7 linked regions of the Rattus norvegicus genome follow. The protein of the gene in region 7 interacts with the protein of the main gene of each other region in a biochemical or structural test. Links are inferred from orthologs where the notes say so. Each region holds a gene or a part of one and is shown on either strand. Other genes may lie near its edges.

Region 1 (4,198 bases), on a different chromosome or scaffold from region 7:
TCGGAGCTGGGGACCGAACCCAGGGCCTTGCGCTTCCTAGGTAAGCGCTCTACCACTGAGCTAAATCCCCAGCCCGTAAATAAATATTTTTAACGTTAAGTTATTCGAGGTAGTTATCATTCACTGCATCCTTTTTGCAAGTAGAAACCAAGAAATTAAGCTACTTCCTGGGGTCCAGTTCACACCAGTAATCTAGCACTTGGAAGTGTGAGAGTCACAGAAGTTAATTTACTTGTACAGGTCTAGATACTAATATTAACTATTAAACAGTCTTTACCTCATACTCCATCATCAAAATCTCATTAACTTTCCACAATACCAAAATACCTAAATTCCAAAATGTAACGCTGATCGTTTTAGGGGGGCAGAATAATGTAGTGGTCAAAAATGCCTAGGTTCTCTAGTTTAACCACCTACTAGTTGTATGGCAAACTGTTTAAAAAGTATCTTTACTGTTATAAAACTTGACTGTGGAGGGCCTACAAGTTGAGGCAAGAGGATCATGAGTTCAGATGTGCCTAATCTATAAACATTTTAATTTCAAGACCTGATACATGGTACTATTACCCAAAATTCTCCTTCAAAATGAACTTGGAGCTGAGCATGAAAGCAAGGGACTTTAATCTCAGTACTCAGGAGGCAGAGGCAGAAACATCGCTGTGAGTTCAAGTCCAGCCTGCTCTACATAGTAAGCTCTAGAACAGCCTGGACTACGTAGAGACCCTGTCTCAAAAAATAAAACAAACAAAAACAAAACAAAATGAACTTGGGAGGTTTGAGATATGGTTCAGTGAGTGGGAACACTTGGTTCTCTTGCAAAGAACCTGACTTCAGTTTCCATCACTCACATGATGGTTCACACCCATCTATGACTCCAGTTCTGTACTCTTCTGACCTTCTTGGGACCAGGACTGCATATGCAGCACATACATGCATGCAGACAAAACACTCATAATTTTTTTTTAAGTTTTTCCAAACAGGATTTCTCTGTGTAGCCTTGACTATACCGGAACTCACTCAATAGAGCAGGCTGGCCTCGAACCTATAGAGATCTGCCTGCCTCTGTGTCCCAACTGCTGTGATTAAAGGCATGCGCCACCTATAAACTGCAAAGGAATGACTGGAGAGATGTCTCAGTGGTTAGAGTACTTGCTGCCTTTCAGAGGACATGAGTTCAACTCTAATTCCAAAGGGTTCGACACCCTCTTCTGGCCTCTGATGGCACCGGGCATGTATACTCACAGAAATATATTCAGGCAAAATATACACACTACAAGTTAAATAAAAATTTAATGAACTTGGGGGCTGAAGAGATGGTTCAGTGGTTAGCAGTGCATACCGTTCATTGCAGAGGTCCTGACTTCCATAAATAACACCCACAGCAAGCCATGCAAAACCACCTGTAACTCCAGCTCCAGAGGGTCTGACACCCTCCTCTGGCCAACATGGGCCCTCAAACACATGTATGCATACACAAACACAGAGACACACATGACTAAAATAGGAATAAATCTTTGTTAGAACAACACTTCAGATGAATTTCTAGAAGGTATTTAAAGCAAACAACTCACACATAATCCAGAAAATAAAAAGGCTGACTCCCGGTGGCTACCATCACTATCTTCTCTCCCCAAGAATTAAAAACAGAGCTGAAATTTTTTCCAATTTGGTATAACACTTTTCTCCCTTGAATGCTGGTGTTCTGACAAGCTTAATAATAAAAGTATATATACATGTATACTTATGTGTGTGTGTGTTATATATGTGATTGTTAAATATCTTGTGGATTAGCTCAACATCTTCAGTTGTTCTGTATGTTAAAGATGATTTCAAACTTGTAACTATCTCCTATGCCAAGGACTATTTCACTTTCGATCTATTTAATGTTCACTACACAGAATTATGTATTGAAGTTGGAACAGAGGGTTTTTTTAAAAAACTACTTTTTGTAACAGGTGATAAGAGATGACAACTGTCAAATACATAACGTCCGTGTTTTTTATTCCTGGTAAACCAGGTTATCCGTTCAAGTCCTATAAATTATTCTAAACAAAGTAAAACAACTTCCTTGTGTCATCAGCTCTCTAAACGGCTGAGACGTACTTCAGGAAGCTGATTAAACCTGAAGGCCCGAGCAACTTCTCCCTGAGAAAGGCAAGCGTCACATTCTTCCTCGCAAAGCTTGAAGTCACGACTTAAGGAAGCATTCCAACAGAGATTTGGTACAATGCTGGACACGAAAGTAACTTTTAACGCCCCGTCCAAATTCTTCTTCCTCCCTTCCCCGAAGAGTCGGGAGGTGGGGTGTGAAAGTGCCGCGTAGCAGCCACATCCCTGCACGCTGCGTCCCTGGTGCGCCCCGAACCCTAAACGGGGCCCCTCGGAGCACTCTGCATGGTCCTCCCCACCCAGCACCGCGGCGGCGTCCCGTTCACACCCCGCCTGCAAAGTCTCTGTAGTTGCACCGCCTCCCGGGTGGCTCACCATCGCAGCCCCACGACCGAACAGGAGCAGGTGGGCAGGCCCGTGACTGGAGGGGTATCCGTTATCGCCGCTCGGAATACATTGGCGCCAACAACTTCTCCCGCGAAGTAGCAGACGCTCAGGCGGCGCGCGGTGATGACGTCGGAGGCGCGCTCCCCGCGGCCCCGCCCCGAGGCGGGAGTTGCGCACAGCCTTGGCAACAAGAGGGTTGCTAAGTCTGTAAGACACTGAATACGTGAGCGATCCTAACAGAGACGCCCAGTTTGGGATCTGAGACTGACTTCCTCTAAGGCGGGTTCCCAGGTGGCTTCCTTCCCCTCCCCGTACACGTGCTGCAAAGGCAGTCCTCTGTAGCGGCTGCCAGAAGTGGACGAGTCTTTTTTACTGTCTTTTCCCCCAGAGCGGAGAACCGAACCCAGGGCCTTGCACTTGCTAGGCAAGCGTTCTACCACTGAGCTAAATCCCCAACCCCTCTTTTTTACTTTTTATATATTTATTTATTGGAGATGGAGTCCACGAGTAGTAGTCAAAGAAGAGCTTTCGGGGAGCCCTTGTCTTCCATCGCGTGGTTATATGTTTGCATTTAAGGGACTGTTTACATTAAAGGAATATTTTTGTTTATTGGGGAGGAGCTGTTTTCTGAGACAGAAGATCATGTATTCCATCCTGGTAAACTATGTAGCTGAGGATGACCTTAAACTGATTTTTTTAACTGCCTCCCAAGTGCTGAAATTTCAGATATATGCCAACATTCCTGGTTTACGCAATGCAAGGGATCAAACTCAGAGCTACTGTGAATGCATGCAACCGACTGGGCAAACCCCAGCCTCAATGGCTTTGTTCTAAAACTACCAAGCTAAGAAAACTAGCCCCTTAATTCCTTCCTAAAGCTTCATTCAGTCACTTAAAGAATAGTGAAATCTTTGAAGCCACTACATACCAAGATACACCCCCACAGGAAAACTAGAATCAGGAAAGATTTAGGATAAGCAAGTCTCAGCAGGGAGGGAGGAAGTAGGCCTGCCTCCACCACCCGGCTGCTGGGATTACAGGGGTGGGGACTCACATGGGCCAGTAAGCTTCCTGTGAGTAAATAAGCAACTTGGTTGTGGAATAGAAAGTAACATTCACATACAACTTCAAGAGAAAACATGAGATTATCAAAGAATTTAGTGACGAGGACAGTATCCAACTTTGGCCTTGGCTTTGAAATCTTTTTCTAACCACTTCTTGTTGGGTCTTGTCATTTTGTGACACATATCTACAGGGAAAGGCAATAAAGCCTTCAGGAATACAAGAGTTTTTTGGTTTTTTTTTTCTTTTCTTTTTTTTCGGAGCTGGGGACCGAACCCAGGGCCTTGCGCTTGCTAGGCAAGCGCTCTACCACTGAGCTAAATCCCCAACCCCAAGAGTTTTTATTTACTAGGTGTCTATCGCAACATGATTTTGGTTTGGTTTTTTTTAAAATTTATTTATTTATTATATGTAAGTACACTGTAGCTGTCTTCAGACACCAGAAGAAGGCATCAGATCGCATTACAGATGGTTGTGAGCCACCATGTGGTTGCTGGGATTTGAACTCAGGACCTCTGGAAGAGCAGTCAGTGCTCTTACTGCTGAGCCATCTCTCCAGCCTGATTTTGGATTTTATTTATTTATTTATTTTTCCTCTTTTTTCGGAGGTGGGGACTGAACCCAGGGCCTTGCACTTGCT
Region 2 (4,181 bases), on a different chromosome or scaffold from region 7:
ACCAATATGAGAGAGAGTCATGGGGTAAGGCTAAGGCTAAGTTGGCAGCTGCCCTGATGGCAGGGAGGAGGAGCTTAGATTCAATTCTAATATCTAGAGTTTTTGGAAGATTTTAACTATGAAAAGTTCAACCGAAGTTCTTTTTCAAAAGGTCACTCTGATTGTTATGTGAGTGACAGCAAGGAAAATAAGGACACCAGTAAGGGCACTAATCCAACAATTTAAGGAAGGTAACACTAGAACTTAAGACTTGTATCTGTGCATGGTTTACAAGGAGACACTAAAGTGCCTGAAACTTGTCTCTGAATTATCACTCTCCTCATGCTCTCAAGTTGTGTTCAAAGAAAATTAAAATTTAAAATATCTATTAATATCCACATTAATGTTGGCATTGTTGCTACTAGAAATGAAGTTTTTACTGATATTCTGTTTAACTTACCCTGATTTATTTCGGTTTTTATTTCTGATGGAGTCTAACTTTTCGGGCCCTAACTGATCTGTACCTCACTATGTAGATCAGGTTGGCCTCAAGCTACCAGAGATCCCCCTGCCTCTGCCTACCTACTGCTGAGATGAGCCAAACCCAGTTTATACCCTGATTTGCAATCCCCAATACTCTAATTAAGCACAAAGAATCACACCAGCCTTCAGTATGTACTCACTTGTAGAAGCAGGTGCCTAAGGCCTCCTGTGATTAGTTTTCTTCTCATGGTACTCTCTCTAGCATACCAATCCTATTCAGTGCACAGCTACAAGAGTACGCCACAGAAGACACTTACTGGGTACCTGTGGATTCAGTCTCATTAAATGCCTTTTATTTAAGAAGTAATTAGTCAGCTACCCAAACTGGAAAATGATGTCTTCAAACTAAGAATGAAAAGCTTGTCCAGGGGTTGGGGATTTAGCTCAGTGGTAGAGCGATTGCCTAGCCAACGCAAAGCCCTGGGTTCGGTCCCCAGCTCCGAAAAAAAAAGAAAAAAGAAAAAAGAAAAGCTTGTCCAAATTCATATACCAGCAGAGACAAAATTCAAGCCCATATCTAAATGCTTTGATCTTTCCACTTCAAAAGCCATTAAATACTGTGTGTTTGACTGTTAAACATAGGTATATGTAGTCACTGGAATTTATTTACAGTGACCGGTTGTTGAGAACAGGTTTTTTTTTTTTTCTTCCTATTTTGAATCTTAGTTTTTCAGTGGTAAAGAAGTGTAGTTACATATTTAAGCACATTCATTTTGAAAACGTGTATTTTTCTACATGAGACGACATAGAGATAAGATTAATGTTAAAAGCGATTCCCACCCTTAAAAAAAACAAACAAACAAATACGCATTATTTACCATAAAAAGGAGTAAAGTTTCATGACAAGATACACGATTTGGTACATACTGACCTCAAAGGACCTACAAGACACAAACAAGAAAACAGAGAAATTCAAGAAAGATGGCAAATAACTAGGCTAAGCAGTGAGCGAAAGCACTCTCCCAGACTGAATTCCTGGATGGTAAGCTTCCAAGTGTCCAGCACTGGAAGGGCGGGAAGCGTGTTCTTGCGACATTTGTCTGGGCAAAGCACTGCCTCTGTGGGAAAACTGACTCATGGAGATAGCGTTAAACTGAACTAATGTGCACTCCTATTATGACATTATAATTCTACCTAAAGGACTAGAGGAGCCAGAGACCAAGCAGATCATTTAAGAGTTGTCACATAGTCCCTAATAGTTAAATCCTTTCTACCAGGTCTCTATTTTTAATCTACACACCGTTTCTACTTTATACCCGCCAGGTCCAAGAAAAACACAGTAAAATCCTAGGCATGTACCACCTGTAGTGTTTTTTTAAAACAATTACGGAACGATACTGCAGGAAGGTACGGGCTTTGCAAACCGGGGACAGGAAGAGCCTCCAAACAGACAAGTGCCTGTCTACCCCGACTGTTGTTTTAACAGCACACCCAAGTGTCAATGAACTGAGCACCTGTACGGACACTTGGGGACAGGTGTCCTGCACACGGAAGGGACAGATAAGTAACAAGGGAAAAGGAGCGAGGAACACACTGCTTCCGGGGTCCCTGAGAGCAAGGCAGGAGGGAGGAAGCCGGTGCACCGGAGGGGCGAGCGGAGAACCGCGGCACGCGGCACGGGCCCCGGGCGCCCCGGCCACATTCTGCAAACGCTGGTGGAGCGGACGCTCGAACGCGCAAGGAAATGAATGGCCAGCCAGGCGCCGGCGCAAGAGGAAAGGGGGACTTGCGACGCCGGCGGCGGGACTCGCGGAGGCAGGGCCGCGGGCGCGCGACGGAGCGCGGGAGGCAGCGCCTGGGTGGAGGGGGAACGGGAGGTCACGCGTTACATAACCCGGCGGCCCGAGGCGCAGGGGCGGCGCGGTGCGGCGGACAGGAGGCCTCGCGGCAGCACCGCGGACTCCCGGCCGAGGCCCCGGCGCCTCGGGCCGCGCGGGCGGCGGCGGCCCGGACCCTGGCGGCTCGGCTCCCCTCCCCCACCCGCCGGCCCGGGGGTCGCTCACCTTCCGCGCCGCCCCAGGCCACCATGCCCGGGCCCGACCGCTTCCTCAGGCCCGCGGGCGCCGCCGCCGCCGCTCAATGCCCTCGCAGCGGCAGAGGAGAACGCCGGGGAAGGCAACCGGTCAGGCGGCTGCCGAGCCGCACCGCGCCTCGGCCCACGCTCCCTCAGTCGCGGCGCCCGCCTCGCGCCTCCGCCCCTCCCCCGCCGCCGCTCCGGCGCGCGCCCCGGCTCCCCCTCCCGTCCCTGCCGCGGCCGGCTGGCCCGGCCCCGCTCGCACTCACCGGGCGCGGCGCACGCGCGCTGCTCGCGCCCGGCCCGAGGCGACCCCGGCCCCGCCCTCCTCTCGCGCCGGCGCCCGCGGGAGAGGGGGGGCGAGCAGCGCCTCGGCGGCACGTGACCGTGCGGCTGGCTGGGCGGGGGTGGCGCGGGGCCCGCCGCATCACCACGCTGCCTCCTGCCCGGGCTGGCTGGCTAATCGTGCTGCAGCGACGCGCAGCCGCGCCCCGCCCCACCCCGCACGGACTCCCCAGCCGCCGCGGAGGGCGCGGGTGCCCGGACTAACCCCGTGGACGACCGCGCAGGGTCCTCCGAGCGCTGCTGCGCGCTCCGACTGATGTGCGGCGCCACCTAGCGGCGGCCAGGACGCACACAGGCTGGCATATGCTCGTTGGGCGAGCGGAGAACCGCGCGGCCCACAACGTTCTGCGGAACGCAGGGTCGCTTGCCGGCAGCCAGCTGGGCAGAGCCCAGACACGACACCGCACAGTCTTATCACTGCCGACCCCGCATTCCACCTGCGGCTGCTGCCTTTCCCGCGTGCAACACACAGACCTGATGAAAATTGCTTTCCCTTGTGATGGTTTAAAAACAACCGCTACACACATTTATTTATTCACGGATGTTTAGATACAATTACACCTTCTAGCAAAAAAAAAAAAAAAAACCAGTGGTCTTATAAGGCTCATTTTCCCAGCCTCTGTTGTGTCTGTTCAATGGAAGACTGTGTGGTTATTGTGACAATCTTTATTGTTGGAATGCTCAGACATTGAGCCAACCAACTCCTCGCCCTAGGCTCAACACTTTGGGTCCTTCTCCGGCTTAGACATTTGAAAGGAGTTTGCAGGCACTTAGAAAACAATCAGTTCTCTTTTTAAAACTGACTTTGCAAACCTGAGGCTCCTTTCCCAGAAAGACAGGAGATACTCGGATAAAATCTCTCTCTCTCTGTATATACACATATACATTTGTATGTATATATACATTGAAACATATATGTCTGTCTCAATTTTAACCTCTCCCTCTCTTGTTTCGTTTGCTTGCTCTCCTTGATGAATTCAACTTCAGTATTCCCTCCATACCCCCAGAGAGTTGCCTGTTTCTCCGGACCCACAATAGAAAAGATAGATACAGTGTAATTTCAGGAGTTTCAGAATGAGCTCTAAGCTGCAACACCAGCAGGTTGTGTAATGAAATGCCACTGGGGGTAAGGAAGGGGCAATTAGGCTTGTGGGGACTTTGTAAAAATTGTCTCTACACAGCAGTTATTTCCAGTTAAGGAAAAGAGCAAAATTTTAATTTTGAGACTGAAAAATAACTGAGCTCTACAAGGAATAAGCAATTATATTTCAATTTCTGATTTTTTCCCTATTCTTTCGTA
Region 3 (3,500 bases), on a different chromosome or scaffold from region 7:
TAGTTCCAGGACAGCCAGGGCTACACGGAGAAACCCTGTCTTGGAAACTTTTAAATCTATAATAGGTCTGGAGATGGCTCAGTGGTTAAGAGCATCACATGCATCCTGTCAGTTCCCAGAACCCAGAGTGGCCCACGACTTCAACTCCACCTCAGAGGGATCCGGCAACAGTATCCTGGGCTGGCACATGCACTCACATTCACACACCGCCCCTCCCCCCAAAGCACACATACAGTAAAATAATATACAATTTTTAGAAATAAACACAACTCAACAGAAGCCATTAGGCTCGAGTGAGCTCTTGTACCTTATTGTCCATAATCGTCCATTGTCCCTCAGGATTCTGCTTCAGAACGCAGTGGTTTCGAGAAATCATCAGAGGGCACACCTTTGAGATCAGCTGGTACGTGACACTGAATCCCCGTCCTATGGTCACCTGGAAGACAAGGGCAACTTAGGACATTCAGTCACTCTGCTAACAGGGGAGGTTCCTTACAGTCTTACCAACCAGCGGCAAACACGAGTCCTGACTTACGAAACCAGACACCTGTGGACCCTAAACTGTTCATCTGCTGTCCTCTCCCCCTCTTCCTCCTCCCTCTCCTCCTCCTCCACCTCCCTGCCACAGGGAGCCACCACAAAGACCAAAGCAAGACGTTGTGATAAGAGAACACTTAAGAGTTAACAGTAACCAAAAGGGGAGGAAAAAAAGCCAGCCAGCACATCTTTAGTCCCAGCACTGGGGAGGCAGAGGCAGCAGAGGCAGGCAGAGGCAGGCGATCTCTGTGAGTTCAAGGCCAGCCTGATCTACAGAGTGAGTTCCAGGACAGTCAGGGCTACACAGAGAAACCCTGTCTCAAATACCAAACATAAACAACAAGAAGAGTTAACCATGGAGGGCTGTGACACAGCTCAGTAGTTAAGCGCATTGGCTGCTCTTCCCCAAGACCAGGTTTATTTTCCCAACAGCCACAAGGTGGCTTGGAACCATCCGTAATTCTAGCTACAGCAGATCTGACGCCCTCCTCTGCCCATACCCCCACCCCAGGTACGTGTGTGTATAACACACATGCAGTCAAAACAATCACAGCCATAAAATAATTAAAAAATAAAAACAAAAAAGAGCCAATATAAACACTCAGGCTCGTACAACCCTGACAGGTCATTTATTTCTACCATCAATGACAAGGGAGACACACTGCCATCGACTCATCTTGAGCACTGCCTTTATGCATATGCCAGGCCTTGGGGTTTTCTCAGTAAACTGTTTTCAGTTGACCCTGGTTCTGCCCTAGGTTCACCAGGAACTCTCCAATCCCCTTCTACAGCTGTGAAGCGTCTCCCGGGTCACCGTTCTCCCCCTGTACTCCCAGGGTCTGAGTTCGAGTGTATCTTCTCAAGAGGACTCCTGGTTTACTGTATAGCTGTTGTGCTTAGAGAAACAAACGTAAGTTCTTAGGGGTGTTGGAAAGCAGCGACACAGCTCGAAGTCAAAGGGTGGGTTACAAGCGGGAGGCTTATGCTCTGCTGGAGATGGCCTTCCAGACTGCCCTCTCCATGTTCTGCTCGCTCTCCTGCTTCTACGAGGCCAAGTCATGGATCAGCTTCCCAGTTCTAGGCATGGTTACCTGCACATGTGTGGCACCAGCTGTCACGGCGCTCTAGTACATTGCCAAGTTATCCTTGGCCAGAGAAACAACATTTTTTTTTAAAATTTTTAAATGTTATTGCCCTTATTATATGTGCATTGGTGTTTTGCCTGCATGTGTGCGTATGTGAGAGTGTCAGATCTTGGAGTTACAGTTGTAAGCTGCCACGTGGGTGCTAGAATTCCAACCCCAGTCTCTGAAGAGCACTGCCCTTAAGCACTGAGCCATCCATCTCTCCTGCCCCATGACTACAGTTCTTGATCCTCCTCTCCAAGGTTATCATGGTGTGTCTCTTTCCGTACGTGACTAGCTGGCAGATGTGCATTCAAATGCAGGACCTGAAGCTGCCTTCGTTCCCTGTCATCTTGTTAGTTCAGCCTGTCACAGACATAATGCTCCTTCTAGCTTTAGATTCCCGTGAAACGGACATGGCACTTGACGCTGTACCTTCAGTCAAGGCATATGAAACATAAAGTCAGTGTGGATTGGAGCGGTGCTCAGTGGGTAAGAGCTCATAACTCCATGCCCTCTTCTGGCCCCTGCAGGCACCTGTACACACATGGGGTACGCACTCTGCAAAGTCTAGTTTGTAGTCTACAACTAAATCCCTTGAGCCCTGGGCCTGCGCTTACCCACGAGAACAGTTGGAGTTTCTGTAGAAGACAGAAACAAAGCTCAGATTCCACCTATCAAACTTCCTGGTGCACTTGTCCAATCACAGCTACGTGAGGGAAGGAAATGAGGCTCTTCTGAGACCCAGGCCTTAGTTTCTTAGTTGTTTTCTGTGCTTATGTGATCTTTTGACAGAGCTACGGTGACTGTAGCAGAAAACAGCCAAGGTTACGGTTTTCTCCTCTCCTATTTCCGAACACTCTCTGTAGACCATGATGGCCTGGAACACAGAGATTCTCCTGCCTCTGCCTCCTGAGTGCTGGGATTAAAGGCGTGCACGGTCTGTGGTTTTCTACAACATGCATTCATTCCTCCTTTTGTAAATCGTTCAGAAGCGTATCTTCGAGCTCCTTAAAGACCAGTGACAGCGCGGGCCTAGTTTACTAGTTGCTTGTAACTAACCTGACCATCAAGTTAGACCTCAGCTGAGAACACAGAAGCCACCTTTGATTGTGAGTCCTTCATTCCCACACCCTAACTGTACCTAATCCTATCCTGCGGTCATTTCTGCCCTGGGAATCTTCACTGCCACCTCCAGTCCACCTAGTCCTGGGCTTTCAGCTCCTTTCTGAGTCTTTCTCTTCCCACAGTAGCTACAGAGCGGATAGAGAAAAGGTCAGATCACCTCTCGTCTTCAAACCCCACTTAACCTAAAGCTATCCACACTCCAGTCGACCGAGGGCCTTTTCATATACACTGGGCTCTGCTTAAAATGCTTTCCTCAGAACCGTAAACTCCTCTTCCCAGACTCACCCGCTCAGGGCCCACACTAATTACACTCACCTACAAGTGGTGAGACACAGTTCACGAAGTTCACGTTACCAGCATACACTTAGCACAGCCCTAAAGTCCCTCCTACCTGTCCATCCTGCCCTCACTGCTTCCTAGAGTGCACATCTCATCCCCACTGCTTTCTGACCCACTACACAGCAGATACTTGACAACACAGGGGTGTTGCCTGAACCCTGTGTGGTAGGTGTGCCCAGAACCCTAGCAGTAGGAAGTGGGGATGGGAGAGGACGCCCGCCTGCCTATAGGATAGGCCCAGATTCCAAAACGGGCGATATTTGAGTGTTGTTTTATGTCAGAAGTTGGAAACTGGGGGGGCAGACCCCGAGATAGCTCAGTGGGTAAAGGCACTTGCTACCAACCCTGACAGCCTGAGTTCAACATCTTGGC
Region 4 (3,500 bases), on a different chromosome or scaffold from region 7:
TCTTCACTACCTATCTTTATGCGTTGGTAACACCAGGTTCACTTTTGCACTAATTCCTGGTGTGTGCAATTATCTTGTGTGCAGTACTGTGTGAGACTATTGTGTGCACAGTACTGTGTGTGCAGTTATCTTGTGTGTGCAGTACTGTGTGAGGTTATTGTGTGTGCAATTGTGTGTGCCATTACTGTGTGTCCTGTTATTGTGCACCAAGAGTCATACAATTTTGAAGCACAGGGACCACCTCTAATTACTCTATGGGACTACAGCAAGGTTTCCATGGCCCTAGAGCCTTAATCTGAGTTTACGCTTGGACAAGTTATTTAACCTTTTTATAGTGCAGCTTTAAAGAGGGAAAGAGGAAGGACAGGAGCAGGAAGGGAGGTCTGAACAAACAGCACTGCCTATCTAAGAGGTTATGGTGAAATTCACTGCAGTGGGTCTGTGGAGCAATTTCTGAGGCCTAGCACGTGCCAAACAACTGGGTAGTTATTCCCTCCCCACTGTCCAAATCTCTGGATTAGTCTAAAGGTGAGGATGTTTTAAAAGGTTAAAAAGTGTTCTTCATATGTTTGTGTGTTAAGGCAGTAGTAACAAAAAGTAGGTAATTAGATTTAAAACTACCAGCAGGCAAGTTTCAATTTCAGAGTACTGGCTCCTCTCACAGCAGTCAGCTTCTCCCGGGAAAGGGTCACACACAGCCGCAAAGCACAGCAGAGTAGTGGATCCGAGAGCCAGACACCTTTAGCTGAGGTAGCATAACCACCACCTGGTAAGGTTAACGCCAAGCCCACATACCTGTGGTGGCCCTGAGGGTGTTACAGGCGACTTGTCCTCTCCAAAGCTGAGCTTCCGGATGCGCTGAGCAACAGAAATTCCCAATTCCTTTTCTAAGGTTTTGATTGGAAAGGTCTGGAGATCATGCACACTATTGATTCCCAGGACTTCAAGACGCTTGGCGGTTTTATAGCCGATACCTAAACAACAGAAATGCACAGTGTTGCGAAGGCTTTGCGTCTCAAAGCCAAGCTACTCTCAACATCAAAGATGTCTCCACCATACGGCTCCAGGGCACCACTCAAAGCCTTGTGTGGAAAAGCACTTGCACGTCTATCTGCACACAGATTCGTACACAAAACATTTCAGGTTTTTGGCTTTCTCCAAACCCAAGTGTGCGCTTCTAGGAATTAACTGCATAGTTTAAAGAAACTACAACAAGGCCAGTATTTGTCTGCAAATGCATTTGTCTTACCAGGCATTTCCTTTATGTGGTTCAAACTGTGAATGAGATGCTGACAACTCTCAGGTAATAAGACTGTCTGTTGATTTGGTTTAAAAACACCAGACACTAACTTTGCCAATAGTTTATTAGGCGCTACGCCAGCGCAGCCTGTGAGCCCCAGCTGGTTATGCATGGCTTCCCGCATCTCTGCTGCAATCTGCGATCCAACCGCAAGTCTCACATGCGTGCTGCTGTGCAGGTTTACAGCTGTAACGACAAAGGTATCACCTCACAAACATGCACTTTCTCTCTCACCAAAAGGGTTCAAAGAGCCCAGGGATCTGTCCATGCTCACTCCTCCCCGACACTCCTCCCCCACACTCCTCCCTGACACTCCTCCCTGGCACTCCTCCCCAACACTCCTCCCCCACACTCCTCCCCCACACTCCTCCCGACACTCCTCCCGACACTCCTCCCCCACACTCCTCCCCCACACTCCTCCCCGACACTCCTCCCCCACACTCCTCCCCGACACTCCTCCCCACCACTCCTCCCCGACACTCCTCCCCCACACTCCTCCCCCACACTCCTCCCCCACACTCCTCCCCACACTCCTCTCCCACACTCCTCTCCCACACTCCTCCCCCACACTCCTCCCCCACACTCCTCCCCACACTCCTCCCCCACACTCCTCCCCCACACTCCTCCCCGACACTTCTCCCCCACACTCCTCCCCCACACTCCTCCCCCACACTCCTCCCCCACACTCCTCCCTGACACTCCCCACTACTCTTCTAACTGCTTCCTTAGTTTGTCCTGAGTCATTACAAACTAACCAGATGCTGAGGGTCCGTGACGAGAAATGCATGCTGAGAGTGCTTACTCACTAGCAGACTGTGAAAATGCAGTTCCTGGCAGTTCTAGCTGACATGCATAAGACCTTCATTCACCTTTACTAATAAAGAAACAGAAGGAAGCCTATATACTAGGAAAACATAGCTTTAGAATGAAGTCTGGATGTTGTGCACCCCATGAACGCCCTGCTGCAAATAATGACTGGGCCCCAGGTTATGAAATCTGCTCACGATACTACAGGGAGGGGAGAAAGAAACACGTTTTCTTTGGTGTGGGTAACAGAGTTGTATGATCCATCCTAGGATTCATGCTGGAAGGACGTGGAGATGAAGTGTCTGTCACAGGACTTACTCCCCAGTAGCTCATCAATCGGCCTAGCTGACAGCACATGCACAGTCCACAGAGGCAAGATAAAATACCTGTGCCCGAATGGCAACTGGCTTGTCTATAACAGACAAGAGCGTCCACACACAGGATTCTGCCTGTTTACGTACTTATTCAAAGAAATTGTGCTTAAACCTATGTGGAGCAGGCACTTGGAAGGCAGAGGCAAGCTGATCGCAGAGTTTAAAGCTATCCTGGCCAACAGCGAAGTTCCGGGCCAGCCAGGCCACATAGTAAGACTGGTTTCAATTAATAACTTACATAAAAGAAGAATAAGTAATAAGAAACTAGGCAGTCTTCATTTGAAATATGAAACCGAGCTCTCTGTCCACTGATGTTTTCTAAACAGTAAGTCTGCATCTGCTTTAAAAGCTGAACAAAGATGGATCTGTAATCTTTCTGGCTTTCACCCTCGGGGCTGACAAAAGGGCACAAGAACAAACCACACAGGAGAGGCTTCATGTCTCTAGACGTGGAGGTTCGGGCCCATCGTCTGTGTCGACGATATAGGAGACTCTAAACGGGCATAAGAGGAGGGGCATGCTGAGATGCAGGCCCGACTACGCCAGGCCTCTCTTACAGAAGAAGCTAGACCTCTACATGGCTGCATTCTCTAGCAGCCCTGGGAGTCTAGACGCCTAATTACATACTCCTGGGCACTAATTACAATTTATTTACACATGTGAATATTCCAGCAAAAACATCTGTCTTCCGCACTTTCTTCATATGGGGAGATAAACCATGTCGCTTTTGCTAATTGTTGCTAATGGTCATTTGAACTGATTAACCTGAAGCCTGGGGAAGTCACCAGCAAAGAGCAGATTGGCCTGTGACTAAAGGCCTGGACAGGATGTAGCCAGGATCCAACAAGGGAATCTCTGTCCTCAGAGGAACAGAAGGGATCAACAACACACTTAGCCTACCTCAAAATTCAGAATTAAAAATGACAAAGAAAAAAGTAGGAAGTCAATGTCTGTAAATTAAGAACAGCCTACAGAGACAGAGCTCTTAAAAACAAGGAGCAGGAAGAATAATAAGAAAA
Region 5 (4,111 bases), on a different chromosome or scaffold from region 7:
ACAACCACCAGTAATGGAGATCCGATGCCCTCTTCTAGTGTGTCTGAAGACAGCTACAGTGTACTCACATTCCTAAAATCTTAACTTGATTCTACAGTGAAATGCTCAAAAGTCCTGAGTCCCAGGACTCAGGAGGCAAAAAAGAAAAAAAACAAAGATCTGACTTTGAGACCAATCTGATTTGCAGTGAGTGAGTTACAGGCCAGATGGGCTAGTAGGAACTATATGCTGAGCTATCATCTACCTATACAAAAAAGGCCTTGTGGGTCACAACTTTAAACCTAGCGCTTGGGGAGGCAGAGGTAGGTAGAATCTCTGCATGAAGGCCACCCTGATTCCTGGCTTAGTGAGTTAAAGAACAGGATTATATACAGACCTTGCCTCAAAAATAAAAAAAAGTTCTAAGATAGCCAGGGCGTAACAGAGAAACCCAGTCTTGAAAACAAATGAACAAAAAGGGCGGGGAACATGCACATTCCAAATGCCTATTTTAATCCCAGCACTTTGGAGCTGTGGGAGGGGCATAAAATGTTCAAGGGAAAACCAGGTGGTACACACCTTTAATCCCAGGGGAGAGGCAGGCAAATCTGAGAGGCTAGCCTCCTATACAGAGTTCCAGGACAGCCAGGGCTATACACAGAAACTGTCTGGGGAGGGGTCCAAGGCTAGCCTGAGCAGTGTCTCACCAAAATAGAAAAGTATGGACTGACCTATCAGTCCCTTTTCTCCCCGATGCTATTCCAATTCAGGCTGTATTAACCAAGCCCAAACTACATACCACTAGTAAGAGCAGTCCTCTTCCTATCACTCCTGACTTCTCACACCGGCCTTACAACTGCCTTCTACTACTACCTTAACAATGTCCTTCCAAGTAGGAAGAAACTCACCATCACATCAGAGTCAGGACCAAACCCAGAAAACAAGGTATCAATCTGACCATAAGCTTTAGTTAGGAAGATGCTGAAGGCTTGCTGCTGAATTACTCCAGGACTCACCCTAAACAATGGCCTAAGAGTCTTAACTTGTCAAGAAATTCTCCCTGTTCAAAAGCCCTTTTTCAGCAGCTAAAGCCAGGTGCCAGAGAACATCCAAATCCAAGTCACTTCATCTTGCCTTCATTAGCTGCTTATGCTAATCGACCCACCACCAGGACCTACAACCTTCCCCTGGAGACTTCCAAGATGACCTTAGTTGAATCCCTAGTATTGACTTGTAGCAGGTGTTAAATAACCCTACACATCCTCTACCTGTGGCCTTTCCCTTTCCACCTAGACCTCCAAAGTCTGCTCCAGAACCAAAGCATTTTTGAGTTGTGTCAGGTTCCTAAAAAAAACACCTTGTCCCATCCTGCAAGTATGCACTTGAGTCAACCAAGAAAGGGCAGTTCCAACAGCCTTCAAATCTTCAACATACCCGTGGAGCGCACAGTGTGATCCTTGGTGTATTTCACCCGCTGGTGAGCCTCCACACAGGTCTCACACAGTGGTTCAGAGCACTCCACACAATAGCTAGTGGCTGGGGCGTTATCTTCACAGCTAGTGCAGCACTGTGAGTGAAGTAAAGGCGGGGGTTAGAACAGGCAGAACTATCCAACGGACCTCTATTTACTTCCCAGAAAACACAAACTAAATTTTACATAATGCATTCAAATCTGTACTACCCTTCCAGAGACTCAGACTGTTATGAACATACTATCCAAACTAGTTAAGCTGGTGAGATGCTTCAGAAAAGATGCCTCCCTCTCTTACAAGATATCCCAAAGGACATACCTGGTTAGCATCCTGGGAATCAGAAGAGGCCTTACTGCCACTATCACGCATAAAGTAATTCTCCACGATGTCTTTGGAGTAGCACTGTTGTTTGCACACTGGACAATCCACCACTGCCAAGACAAGAATGTGTGAAAAAACTAACTGCATGCTCACCTAAGCTATGCCCCCAACTCAAAAGTCGAGCCAGACACTCGGCTTTCTTGACTCCTACCCCACAGTCTGCATCTCGGTGTCCAGACCTGGTAACCGGCATTGCAAGCCGCCAGCACCCGTTCCCCGCCCCCTCTTAAACCAGCAGGCCTACTTAACCCTACCCGGGCCCCCATACTCTCGCACAGGCGCAGTCCCGAGCACGGGCTTCAAGGAGGGGGGAGGGGCACCTGGCCACCCAGTACTCACTAGCGCCGTCGCCCGCCGAGCCGCCATCCCCCGAATTATTAGCTGCGGCGGGTGTAGCGGGGCCAAGGCAGGCACTACAGGCCGAATGCAGACAGGGCAGCAGCCGAGGATCCCGCTCAGGCCGCAAGCGCTCGCGACACACGCCGCAGTGCTCCAAAAGCTCCTGCGCCTCGCCACCGCCCCCCGCAGGGGACGACGCGGAGGCCGAGGCCGCCGCGGCTGAAGAGGCAGCGGGGCGCTTCTCACCGCCCGCCGAGCCTTCGCCCGACCCTGGGCTACCAGAGGCCGCTGACGCGGCCGTCGCGGCCGAGGCCGCCGCAGTCGCCGCCGCCGCCGAGGCCGCCATTCACACGCCGCCGGGGGGTTGGGGGGGCCGCCCAGGGGAGGAGGGGCACCGAGCCCGCTGCGCAGGCGCAAGTGCGCTCGCCGCCAACGGCCAGGCAGCCGCCGATGCCGCGAGGCCGAGCGCCGCCACGCGTCTCCTGGGCCGACGCCCGCCGCGCCCCAGGCGCTGCCGAGATGCGGCCAAGCCGCTGGCTGCCGGCCTCTCTACAGACGACGGCGCCGCCACCCGCGCCGCCTCCTCCCTTGCTGCTGAGACTCGCGCCGCAAGAATTGCGAACAACCGCCCGACCGCGCGCCGCTCGCAGAAAGAGCCGCGGCCTGGAGGCGGGACAGAAATATCTGGCGCCGACGACGTCGCGCACGCGCGTTGGGCACCGCAGCCTGGGGGCGGGGCGCAGGCAGATTACGCACGCGCCAGGGCCCTCCCTTCTACTCGCAGCCGCCCCTCTAGGTCCAGGATAGCAAGACTACCGGTAGGAAATTCACCCGCGGAGTACGTGCGTGATGTCTCCCATGCCCACCGTACAGTGCACCGAGGCTTATTCCTCGCGTGCTGGAAAGCGCGAGTCGTGCAGAACCGTACCTTAGGCCCCGCCTCCTTAGCAGGCGTGGCGACGTCCGCAGCCGCAGCTTGGCCTATAGTCCGCGAAGAGGGGCGGGACAATCCGAAGAGGGCGGAGCCACGGCTGAGCACAGAGACCGAGCCCAGGTGGAGGGGGTGAGGGGGTCTTTGGCAGGAAGTTCCCGCCGAGCGTGGAGGCGGTCTTAACCCAAACTTTTTTTATTGTTAAACTCGGGAAGCGAAAAGTTGTCCAAGTCAAACCGCAGATCACAGAGAGGTACTGAGAAACCATTCTGTAAAATTCTGCCCAGTCTTTCGAAAGCCTCTTCTGTTTTAGTCCTCTGCTATTCTGGTTTTAGTGGGTTTTTTGGAGGTGGAAGAACTGAACATCTAACGCGAAGGAATAAAAGTTGGATCTGAGTGATGAATCTCATCTGAGGGAGAAATAAGACCTGGGGAATAATCTTGCATGAGGAGCAGGACCTTGGCTGAAGAATTTGATTTAAGGAAAAGAATAGCAGGATCAAGAGCGGTGAAGCGGTTCATCTCAGATGCAGGATCAGTGTTAAAAAGGCAACCTGTACCCCTTGCCATTCTACTGCCGTGCTGAGTGGATGCCTCTGCAGCCTTGCAGTGTACTGGGTACGGTCTGGGTCTGGGCTAGAGTGAGTTGCCCACAAGCAACTCTAGGGTTCTCAACAAGAGTCTACCTCCTCCGTGCAGAACCAGGTGTTCACCCACGTGGCAGCGGAGAGGCGAGGAGTGTCCCGCCACTGTCCCGGGTGTGGCCTTTGTTCCCAATCAAGCTGGGGGCCCAAGGTTTTGCCCCGCCCCAGCCTTTGTTCCTATCTCGGCAGTTCTGCGTTCACCATTCGGCGGGCCACGCCCCCACCAGACCCAGCCTCTGGACTCTCACTTCTACCTCTGAAAAGGATAGTATAATCTGGAAGCTGAGTGCGGGCTTCCCGTAGAAATATTTGCGAATATTTTCACGGCCCCACGGACTGCTGGGGCCAGACTCACCAGGGTAGGG
Region 6 (3,500 bases), on a different chromosome or scaffold from region 7:
ACACAGATGCTCAAGCTGCCTTGAGAACCCGTATGCGACTGGAAACATTCAGGGCTGAGACAGCTCCTCATTGTCCCTGCACCCAAGTGCTTGGGGCGGTCCTTGAGGCCAGTGCCTGCTGGCTTTGTCAGAATGCTCACACTGCCTTCAAAGGCCACTGTGCCATCTGCCCCGGCTCTACCACTCTCACCTTGTGTGTACACAGGCCCCAGTGACTGGAGTGGCCTTCCAGGAAGGTGGCACATACCTGAGGCACTCTCCTGAGCGCTGGCCAGCAGACAGAGCTTAATCTCCAGGCCGATGGCTTTGGCCAGTGGTGGTGGCACAGCGTTCCCCACCTGCAGGAAGGAAGGAGGTAACGTCAGCTTGACACCAGGCTCAGGGGCCTGACCATGACCTGAGTTTTGTGGACTTGGTCTACACTGAGATGTCCACACACCACAGGCACTGACAGTTTTTGCTTGCTCAGTCCGAGACAGGGTCTATGTAGTTCTTTAGACTGGGGTCAGAGATCCACGTACTTGCCTCCCCAGTGCTAGCATTAAAGCCTGGGAAGGGCATCTGTGCCATTGCATTGCTGCTGCTGACCCACAGTTACACACACAACCTGACTCACAAGCTGTGGCCCCCTACTCCCAATTCGAGGCTGAGGCTACTTGGTGACAAGCTCTGGGATGGACTGACCTGCCGGTGTCTGTCCAGGATGTTGCCGAATAACCGGTAGGTATCTGGAAAGCCTTGGGAGCGAGCACATTCCCGCACACTCACGACCCGGTGCTGCTCGGGATGGAGCACCCGGCCTTGCTTGCCCATGGGCTCAGGGTTGGTGACGGTGGTACTGAAGAAGCCATCCCACTCCAGACGCCCGTAGAGGCCAGCCCAGTGGTTGTGCCGGTTCCCAGTGTGCGGCAGGCACCAGGGGATGAGCGTGTTGAATTGTCTGGAAGCAGGGTCGCAGGTCTTGCCTTCCGCACAGGAGCAGACCCCACGCAGGGCCCCGGTGCTGCTGCAGCCGTTCTTCGTGTCGTGGAAAGTGTAGCGAAGTTTATTGGTTATGACGCCATCTCTCAGCCGCACTTGTATGTTGGGCAGGTCACGCCAATCCGATCCTGGGGACAGCGGGATGTGCCGCATACGGGCAGCCACCAGCGCGCTCATGTCCTAGAACACAGGGAATCCCAGCTGAAACCCAGTTCAGGGAGCACAAAAGGGGAGCCAGAGGCTCGGATTCCATCAGGATGAGACAACCACCCAACCCCAGCTGAGAGATGGCCGAGGACGCCTGGTGCATGTCCGGAGGGACATGTGAGGTGAGCGCATTGGACAAAGAGGTTCCGTGTGAAGTCAGCCGGGGAAGCACAAACACGAGGACTGATGTAGGAAAAGCCCATACAGAAACGCTGTTAAGAGGGCGCTGTGGGGACATTTGGATGTCAACCTGGACCATCTGAAAATGACACTGTGCGGGTAGGAGATCAGAGATGTTGAGCCTTGAGGCTACGGAGATGTAAGCGAGCCCAGGAGAGAAGCTGGGCCAGGCTCTCGCAAGACCGAAGGGAAGCTAGCTACCTTGCAGATATGGTCCCTGAGGATGGGCTGGTAGTGCGACCCTCGCAGCTGCCTCTGGAACCAGGACTGTGGCTCTCCATTGTAGGAGATCTCGGGGGCTGAGGCTCCATTCTGGATCTCAGGGAGGTCAGACATGGTATCTCGCACCGTGATGGTTCGGAAGGGACCCGAGCTTAGCCTGCAGCAGAAGGTGCTCTATTAGAGGTCAAGCGGGTGGTGGCCTCTGCTGGAACTCAGGATGTGAGGGGCAGCTGAGGTATGGGCCCCTCTCAAGTCTGCTGCCTGCACGTGAGGCAGGACCTAAGGTGGAGTGAGGCAAACCCAACCGGGCTTGAGATTCCAGCCAGAGTCCAACACAGATCTCCTCAGTAAGCCAGGGAACACGAGCAAAACATGGAGGGCTCGGCACTGTCACAGCCACTCTCCCACACGTGGGGGCCGAGCACAGCTCCTACCTTGTAATGTTGCTAACGAACTTCTTGTCGTCCACCACAACACTCAGCTGGCAGGCACGGGGGGCAAACACGTGTAGAGGTTCTGGGAACAGAGGCAGCTTCTCTCCAGGGGCTGCAGCCAAGATGATGGCCCTCCTTCGTGTCTGGGCCACACCATACTGTCCAGCCTGCAACAGGGGAAGAGAGATGGCATTAGGCAGTGTTTGCCCAGCTGGCTCTTCTCAGAGAGCCAGACTGGAAAGCAGCAACGCATATGCATACCTGCAACTCACCAAGTGGCATGGCGGCCACTGGCCAGCAGTAACAGTTTGCCCCAGTCAGCCAGGGCCATGCCATTTGCAAAACTCTCATTTTGGTTAAATGGGGACAACCCCCAAGATTACAGTAAGTTGAATTTATAGAAGCAAAGTCACTCGTCTGCATAGGCCCCTGCCATCCCGATTCTGTCAAGCTCAGTTAAGGCTGACCCCGGGGAATGCTAACCCATCACTATGTCTTCCGACTCTTCCCTGTCTCCTCACGGTAACTCCTGCATCTGTAAGTGGATGACAAGACCTCTGTGTGACCAGAAGGAAAGCTCCCATCCCGTGTTTGCTCTGGATAAATCCTATTCTGCTGGGCCGCTTCTCTTGTATTTTACTGACCTTACACCGGTCAATCCCAGCCCTCCCAGGGAACACTGCAAAGACGATTAAAAAGCACTGGGGAGGCCAAGAGCCCTCCCTCCACCCCTGACAGTCATGAAGATGATGAGCACAAGGCGGAGGCGAGGGTTGGGAACACCAAGCTCATCCCAGGTGGCCTCCCATGACTTGTTAGTTCAGCACCCACTGAACAGCTAATTTTGTTGTCCGATTGTGGAATCAAGGTCTCATTGTAGCCCAGGCTAGCCACAAACTTGCTATGTAGACAAAGAAGAAACCAAGTCCTGATCCTACCTACAATCCCCTCTTACTTGTGGGATGGTTAGTGTGCGTAACCACGTCTGTGTGGTGGCCAGAATGGAACCCAGGCTTCCTGATGGTGAAACGAGCTCTCTACCAACTGGGTCCCAGCTAACCACGATCACTCTGGGTGCTGGGGACAGGACCAAGGCAATGTACCACACTGAGCTGCGGCCTAGCTCTAAATCCTGAGATGCCGGCCTTCAATGCATGGAATCCCTCTTCTCCAGCCTCCCAGGACTAGAGAAGACTGGCTTTCTCTGTGTAGCTCTGGCCATCCTAGAGCTCTGTAGACCAGATGGCCTCAAACTCAGATGTGCCTACCTGTGCCCCTAGAGTTGGCATTAGAGGTGTGGGCCTCCATACCTGGCTAACCTATGCTTTTCCACCTGAGCTGAGCCACTATCTTCACAACCATACTGCTGGGCATGCAGACCTCCGCTACTCACAGCCCAACCGTCTCCTGGTTAGCGACGGGGAGCAGCAGCCCAGGGACTGAACTAGGGGAGGCCACTTCCGCCCCTCTGCCTGC
Region 7 (4,076 bases):
GACATAATTCAGCAGAGTAAGGTTAAGAACTAGCTCTCTGAGTTGTGTGTATATCTATCTATGCTCTAATTCTTATACTTACATTTACTTTAAGTCTGTGCAGAGGACAAGAAAGTAACACCTTCTATTTACCTTACATACTTTGTGGTAAGCACTCTGAATCTCACCATATTAACCCTGAAATCTCACTTAGTTCAGACTTTGATGCTAAGGCTCGGTAGCAAAACTTAAAAGTGTAACCATGAAATATACATCTGATTCCTGAGAAAGCCTTGAGTCAGGGCTACTTAGGAATTAAGAGAACTAGTGTGTTCTGCTTGAATGAGGGCTTGCCAAGCATCTTCCCCTGCCATCCCAATTTCTTCCCCATTTTTTGAGATCCATTTTCTGCAAGGTAGACTTTAAACTGAGAATCATCCTGTTGTTGCTTTGAGTGTCACAGTTATGGGTTTGAGCCACCATGTCCAGCTTCCTCTAGGCACATAAAATGTCAGAGTATTCAATGCAACTCTTTCCGAGTTGCATGAAGTCTTATTTCCTTTGGTACTGTGGATATTCTTATTATTGTATTGAGTCCTGTTGCCTGTAGCTAGGCCTAAATTACAACCTAACTTTGCTCAGTCTGCTTTTGCACCATTAAATGAACTAGTAACTGAACCTACAACACATAAAAGCTATTAGAGGAGCTACATGATCCCAAGACTTTTACACCCCCAACCATTCCGTTCACTTGCTAATCCTCACTGATTTGTCAAGAGTATTTCCAGGAAGCAAAAGGTTGTACACTTAGCTTTCCAAATCCTGTCTGTAAAAGCTTATGTGGCATCATCTGAGTTCCAAGCCAGCTTGGTCTACTCAGAATGCCATCTCAAAATGAAAGAATGAATAAACAAACAGAAGTCAAGGCTTAATGGCTAAGCCGGCAATCCTGCTTCAGACACAGTTAGCTGGACGACACCTCTTGCTACTTACAGCTTCCTCTTCTTTATCAACATTGCTTGTCTGGGACAACTTAATGTTCCCATTGCCAAGCTCCCCACTCGCAGAAAACTTCACCCCGTCCTTTGCACAGGAGATCACCACAGCATCTCCAATATGGCTAAGGTCCCGGCATATACGTGCAAATTCACCAGATGGCATCTTTACTACGCAGCTGTACTCCTGTTCCTGTAAATGCAAGGTTAAAGGTCAGTCTAGAAAAGAGGAAGACTCAGCTTCATGTTCTCAAGTTTCAGCACCTTAACTAGAACTCAGAACACAAGACTTCTGATGTCTTTACAACTCAATCAAGTTTAGGCTGTTGTGGTCTGGTGAAATGGCAAACACCACAACTCCACTTTAGAACATGCATCAGCTGGTATCACAGCTTGGTAAAACACCATCAGAAACAAGATACTTACTGGGATTCCAAGTTGCTCAACGTCTAAGTCCATTAACTTCATCTCATAGTCTGAAACTTTCTCTTGATCTACCAAAAGAAATCCAAGTGTTACTGAAGCACATGTTCATATCTATGTTGTAAATTTACCACAACCCTGTTGTTTTTAATTGTGAGAAACAGAAACAGCACACTTTAATTTCTGTAGCAACTGAGTTTTAAGGGTGTAACTTACTTGGTGCTTCAAATACTAGTGCTAAGGTATCAGCATTATCTTCAGCCCTTAATGTAATGATGTCTTCATTACCAGCACATTTTAGAATTTTGGACATGCTAGAAAAAAAAAAGGACACAGGGCTTATCAACATCATGTCTCCACATTTACATTTTTAAATTTATATTTCACATTCATGATTGGAGAATTGTTAGGGAGGATAAGGGTACCCCGAACCCTCTCAGAGGTTAAGCAAATTATCGGGTATATGTGATCCTTAAAAATCGATTTAGTAAAATGCACTAAAAGCCAACATTCAAGAACGCATCCTTTTTAGTGGGGTGTCCTCGGTTTTCAGCGTACTGGAGAGTGTGCCCTATCGCGTCTGGCCTTTTCATAAATGTTTCAAAATGTATACAAGTGACACTAATCCATATATCTGTACCAAAATAAGTCACATATTGTCCTTGAAATGTATACAGGAGGCACTAACACAGGTAGTTGTAGCAAAGTTAAAAGCTAAAACTGAGATTTTCCTGCAAATCCATGACGCGCAGTGAGATTCTAGAAGTCAAGAAAAGGCCTATCGTCACTCTAAGACTCTAAGTCGACAGTCCTTTTTCACCAGAACTCGCTTATTAGGCGCTAAAATCGGCCAGAAAAAGCTGCAGGCACTTAATGAGCGCAGCTCGGAAGCACGCATTTTCCCGCTGACTACCGCTTTGTGGCTTTGGCGCGGGAAAAAAGTAGGCGCGACAGCCAGCGCGGGCTTTTCGGAACCGCGCGCTTTGGTGGGTGATGTCCCCGGCACCACAGGCCAATCAGAAAGCGCGGACGGCCATGCCAGCCAATGCGAGTGCAGGAACACAGCCCCGCCAAGAGCCGAAGCGGGAGGGATGGGGCCCAGCTCCCGCCACCCGCTCACCTGGTGAGGTTCACGCCCATGGCCAGGTTGCGATCGCAGCGGTATGTGTCGAAGCCTTCGGAGCGCAGAGTAAGCTGCACTAAGGAGACGTGAGACGAATCCATGCTCTGTAGGTTCACGCCGCCCGAACTGATGTCCCAGCAGGCCTCATTGATGAGGTCTTTGAGGGCCTCCAGCACCTTCTTCAGGATGGAGCCCTGGATCAGGCGTGCCTCAAACATGGTGGCGGAGTTGCGACGTCTAGATGAGAGTTACTGTAAGGGGAGCGAGGTCTTGCTGACAAGGTACCCCGACTCACGATGCAGAAGTAGCGTGAAGACCAGGAGGGACGATAACCAGTCACCTGCGCCCGCAACCGTCTAATGCCGCGGCTTCCTAGGCGCGCGCTCTTTCAGTGCGCGAGGTTGTGGCGTCACAGCGCTGACCCACCCACCTCTCCTCTAGAACCAATCGTATCCGTGGTTTGAGCAAGGCCCGCCCCGCCGCGTATACAGAGGCGGAGCTGTGCGGTAAGAGCGTGGGAGGCGAGGGGCATCACGGGGTTCGCGTAGGCTGTCGTCACCGCCGGTGTTGGAGGGAGCTTAGGCTGTGGTTTCCATGTTCCTTAGGAAGTTTCTGCGCCACGGAAATGAAAGCCACTTGCAGTGCGCGGCGGCCTGCCTTGAAGAGGGAGACTGTAGTTCCTTCAAACACAGTGGAGTGCGTTTCTTTTACTACTGCGTAAAAAATATGCCGCAAAATATTGAGTAATAAAGAGGCCATCTTATCTGAACACTCCCCAATTTCATAACACTTACCTGGGTGCTTCGCTCTGAACTTTCCTCCCTAAAGATTTAAAAAAAAAAATGCCTCTTAACGCGAACGCTTCTGCAAAGATATATAGTTCATGTGTACCACGTAATTAGTTTCCTGTATGGTTGGTTTCTTTTATATTTTTAAAGGTAGATATTAGTATTTTCATCTTAGTTTTAGGCTTAAGATGAACCCAAGCCTGAGCCCCATCTTGAAAATATTAGCTGTTGCAGGTGAAGCGTCTTTCATATGTCCCTGGGCTGCAGCATTTTGTTCTACTAAAACTTCTTTTTCCTATTGATTATGAGGATGGAGAAGAACTGAATGTAGGTAATGGGCATCATTTACAAAAGGATATAAATGATTTCTATTTCTAATGCTTTTTCTCTTGGTTTTGGTGGTAGATAAAATATATTTGATAGTGGAAGTGTAAAACTTCCAGCTTCCATTTGGAATGCCTCTTCTAACTGTAGACACAACTTTTGGTGTGTGATGTTTTATTTATTTGCATTTTTTTTTTTACTAATAAGACATATAAAATTTCAGAAAGTTAAAAGGATTGTTTTAGCTGGTAAGAGTGTTTTACAGCTAATTCCAGCACATGGGAAGGCTGAGGTGGGAGGGCCTAGATTTAAACTCAGCTTGGACTATCTACCAAGACTGACACGAAGGGGGAAAAAGGAATGGTTTACGTATGAAAATATTAACCACATATCATGTGTATTTATTCTTCCCTTATTTACAGCATTTCTCTTTAGCTTGTCTTG

What was found.
Region 1: the proteins of Pcna (region 7) and Rfc1 form a complex in vitro, tested with the Homo sapiens proteins (5 studies listed by BioGRID, with this or other methods). The link is inferred for Rattus norvegicus from reciprocal best matches to the Homo sapiens genes PCNA and RFC1.
Region 2: the proteins of Pcna (region 7) and Rev1 form a complex in vitro, tested with the Homo sapiens proteins (2 studies listed by BioGRID, with this or other methods). The link is inferred for Rattus norvegicus from reciprocal best matches to the Homo sapiens genes PCNA and REV1.
Region 3: of the proteins of Pcna (region 7) and Rnf8, one has a biochemical effect on the other in vitro, tested with the Homo sapiens proteins (2 studies listed by BioGRID). The link is inferred for Rattus norvegicus from reciprocal best matches to the Homo sapiens genes PCNA and RNF8.
Region 4: the proteins of Pcna (region 7) and Poli form a complex in vitro, tested with the Homo sapiens proteins (4 studies listed by BioGRID, with this or other methods). The link is inferred for Rattus norvegicus from reciprocal best matches to the Homo sapiens genes PCNA and POLI.
Region 5: the proteins of Pcna (region 7) and Trim28 form a complex in vitro, tested with the Homo sapiens proteins (2 studies listed by BioGRID, with this or other methods). The link is inferred for Rattus norvegicus from reciprocal best matches to the Homo sapiens genes PCNA and TRIM28.
Region 6: the proteins of Pcna (region 7) and Dnmt1 form a complex in vitro, tested with the Homo sapiens proteins (3 studies listed by BioGRID, with this or other methods). The link is inferred for Rattus norvegicus from reciprocal best matches to the Homo sapiens genes PCNA and DNMT1.

Annotation. Positions count from the first base shown.
Region 1 is NC_086032.1:43,318,370-43,322,567, reverse strand, and holds the start of Rfc1 (replication factor C subunit 1), read right to left. Parts: upstream 2,801-4,198; 5' UTR 2,488-2,800; coding exon 2,485-2,487; intron 1-2,484. UniProt on the Homo sapiens protein: Subunit of the replication factor C (RFC) complex which acts during elongation of primed DNA templates by DNA polymerases delta and epsilon, and is necessary for ATP-dependent loading of proliferating cell nuclear antigen (PCNA) onto primed DNA.
Region 2 is NC_086027.1:47,844,528-47,848,708, forward strand, and holds the start of Rev1 (DNA repair protein REV1), read right to left. Parts: upstream 2,801-4,181; 5' UTR 2,526-2,800; intron 1,404-2,525; exon of another isoform or gene 1,341-1,403; intron 1,301-1,340; exon of another isoform or gene 780-1,300; intron 688-779; exon of another isoform or gene 663-687; intron 1-662. UniProt on the Homo sapiens protein: Deoxycytidyl transferase involved in DNA repair. Transfers a dCMP residue from dCTP to the 3'-end of a DNA primer in a template-dependent reaction.
Region 3 is NC_086038.1:7,686,965-7,690,464, reverse strand, and holds part of Rnf8 (E3 ubiquitin-protein ligase RNF8), read right to left. Parts: intron 437-3,500; coding exon 308-436; intron 1-307. UniProt on the Homo sapiens protein: E3 ubiquitin-protein ligase that plays a key role in DNA damage signaling via 2 distinct roles: by mediating the 'Lys-63'-linked ubiquitination of histones H2A and H2AX and promoting the recruitment of DNA repair proteins at double-strand breaks (DSBs) sites, and by catalyzing 'Lys-48'-linked ubiquitination to remove target proteins from DNA damage sites.
Region 4 is NC_086036.1:66,399,717-66,403,216, forward strand, and holds part of Poli (DNA polymerase iota), read right to left. Parts: intron 1,487-3,500; coding exon 1,250-1,486; intron 975-1,249; coding exon 796-974; intron 1-795. UniProt on the Homo sapiens protein: Error-prone DNA polymerase specifically involved in DNA repair. Plays an important role in translesion synthesis, where the normal high-fidelity DNA polymerases cannot proceed and DNA synthesis stalls. Favors Hoogsteen base-pairing in the active site.
Region 5 is NC_086019.1:82,723,584-82,727,694, reverse strand, and holds the start of Trim28 (transcription intermediary factor 1-beta), read right to left. Parts: upstream 2,801-4,111; 5' UTR 2,518-2,800; coding exon 2,172-2,517; intron 1,883-2,171; coding exon 1,770-1,882; intron 1,547-1,769; coding exon 1,414-1,546; intron 1-1,413. UniProt on the Homo sapiens protein: Nuclear corepressor for KRAB domain-containing zinc finger proteins (KRAB-ZFPs).
Region 6 is NC_086026.1:27,717,842-27,721,341, forward strand, and holds part of Dnmt1 (DNA (cytosine-5)-methyltransferase 1), read right to left. Parts: intron 2,192-3,500; coding exon 2,025-2,191; intron 1,748-2,024; coding exon 1,570-1,747; intron 1,162-1,569; coding exon 685-1,161; intron 339-684; coding exon 248-338; coding exon of another isoform or gene 1-247. UniProt on the Homo sapiens protein: Methylates CpG residues. Preferentially methylates hemimethylated DNA. Associates with DNA replication sites in S phase maintaining the methylation pattern in the newly synthesized strand, that is essential for epigenetic inheritance.
Region 7 is NC_086021.1:139,953,021-139,957,096, forward strand, and holds the start of Pcna (proliferating cell nuclear antigen), read right to left. Parts: upstream 2,801-4,076; 5' UTR 2,739-2,800; coding exon 2,518-2,738; intron 1,712-2,517; coding exon 1,614-1,711; intron 1,469-1,613; coding exon 1,401-1,468; intron 1,168-1,400; coding exon 973-1,167; intron 1-972. UniProt on the Homo sapiens protein: Auxiliary protein of DNA polymerase delta and epsilon, is involved in the control of eukaryotic DNA replication by increasing the polymerase's processibility during elongation of the leading strand.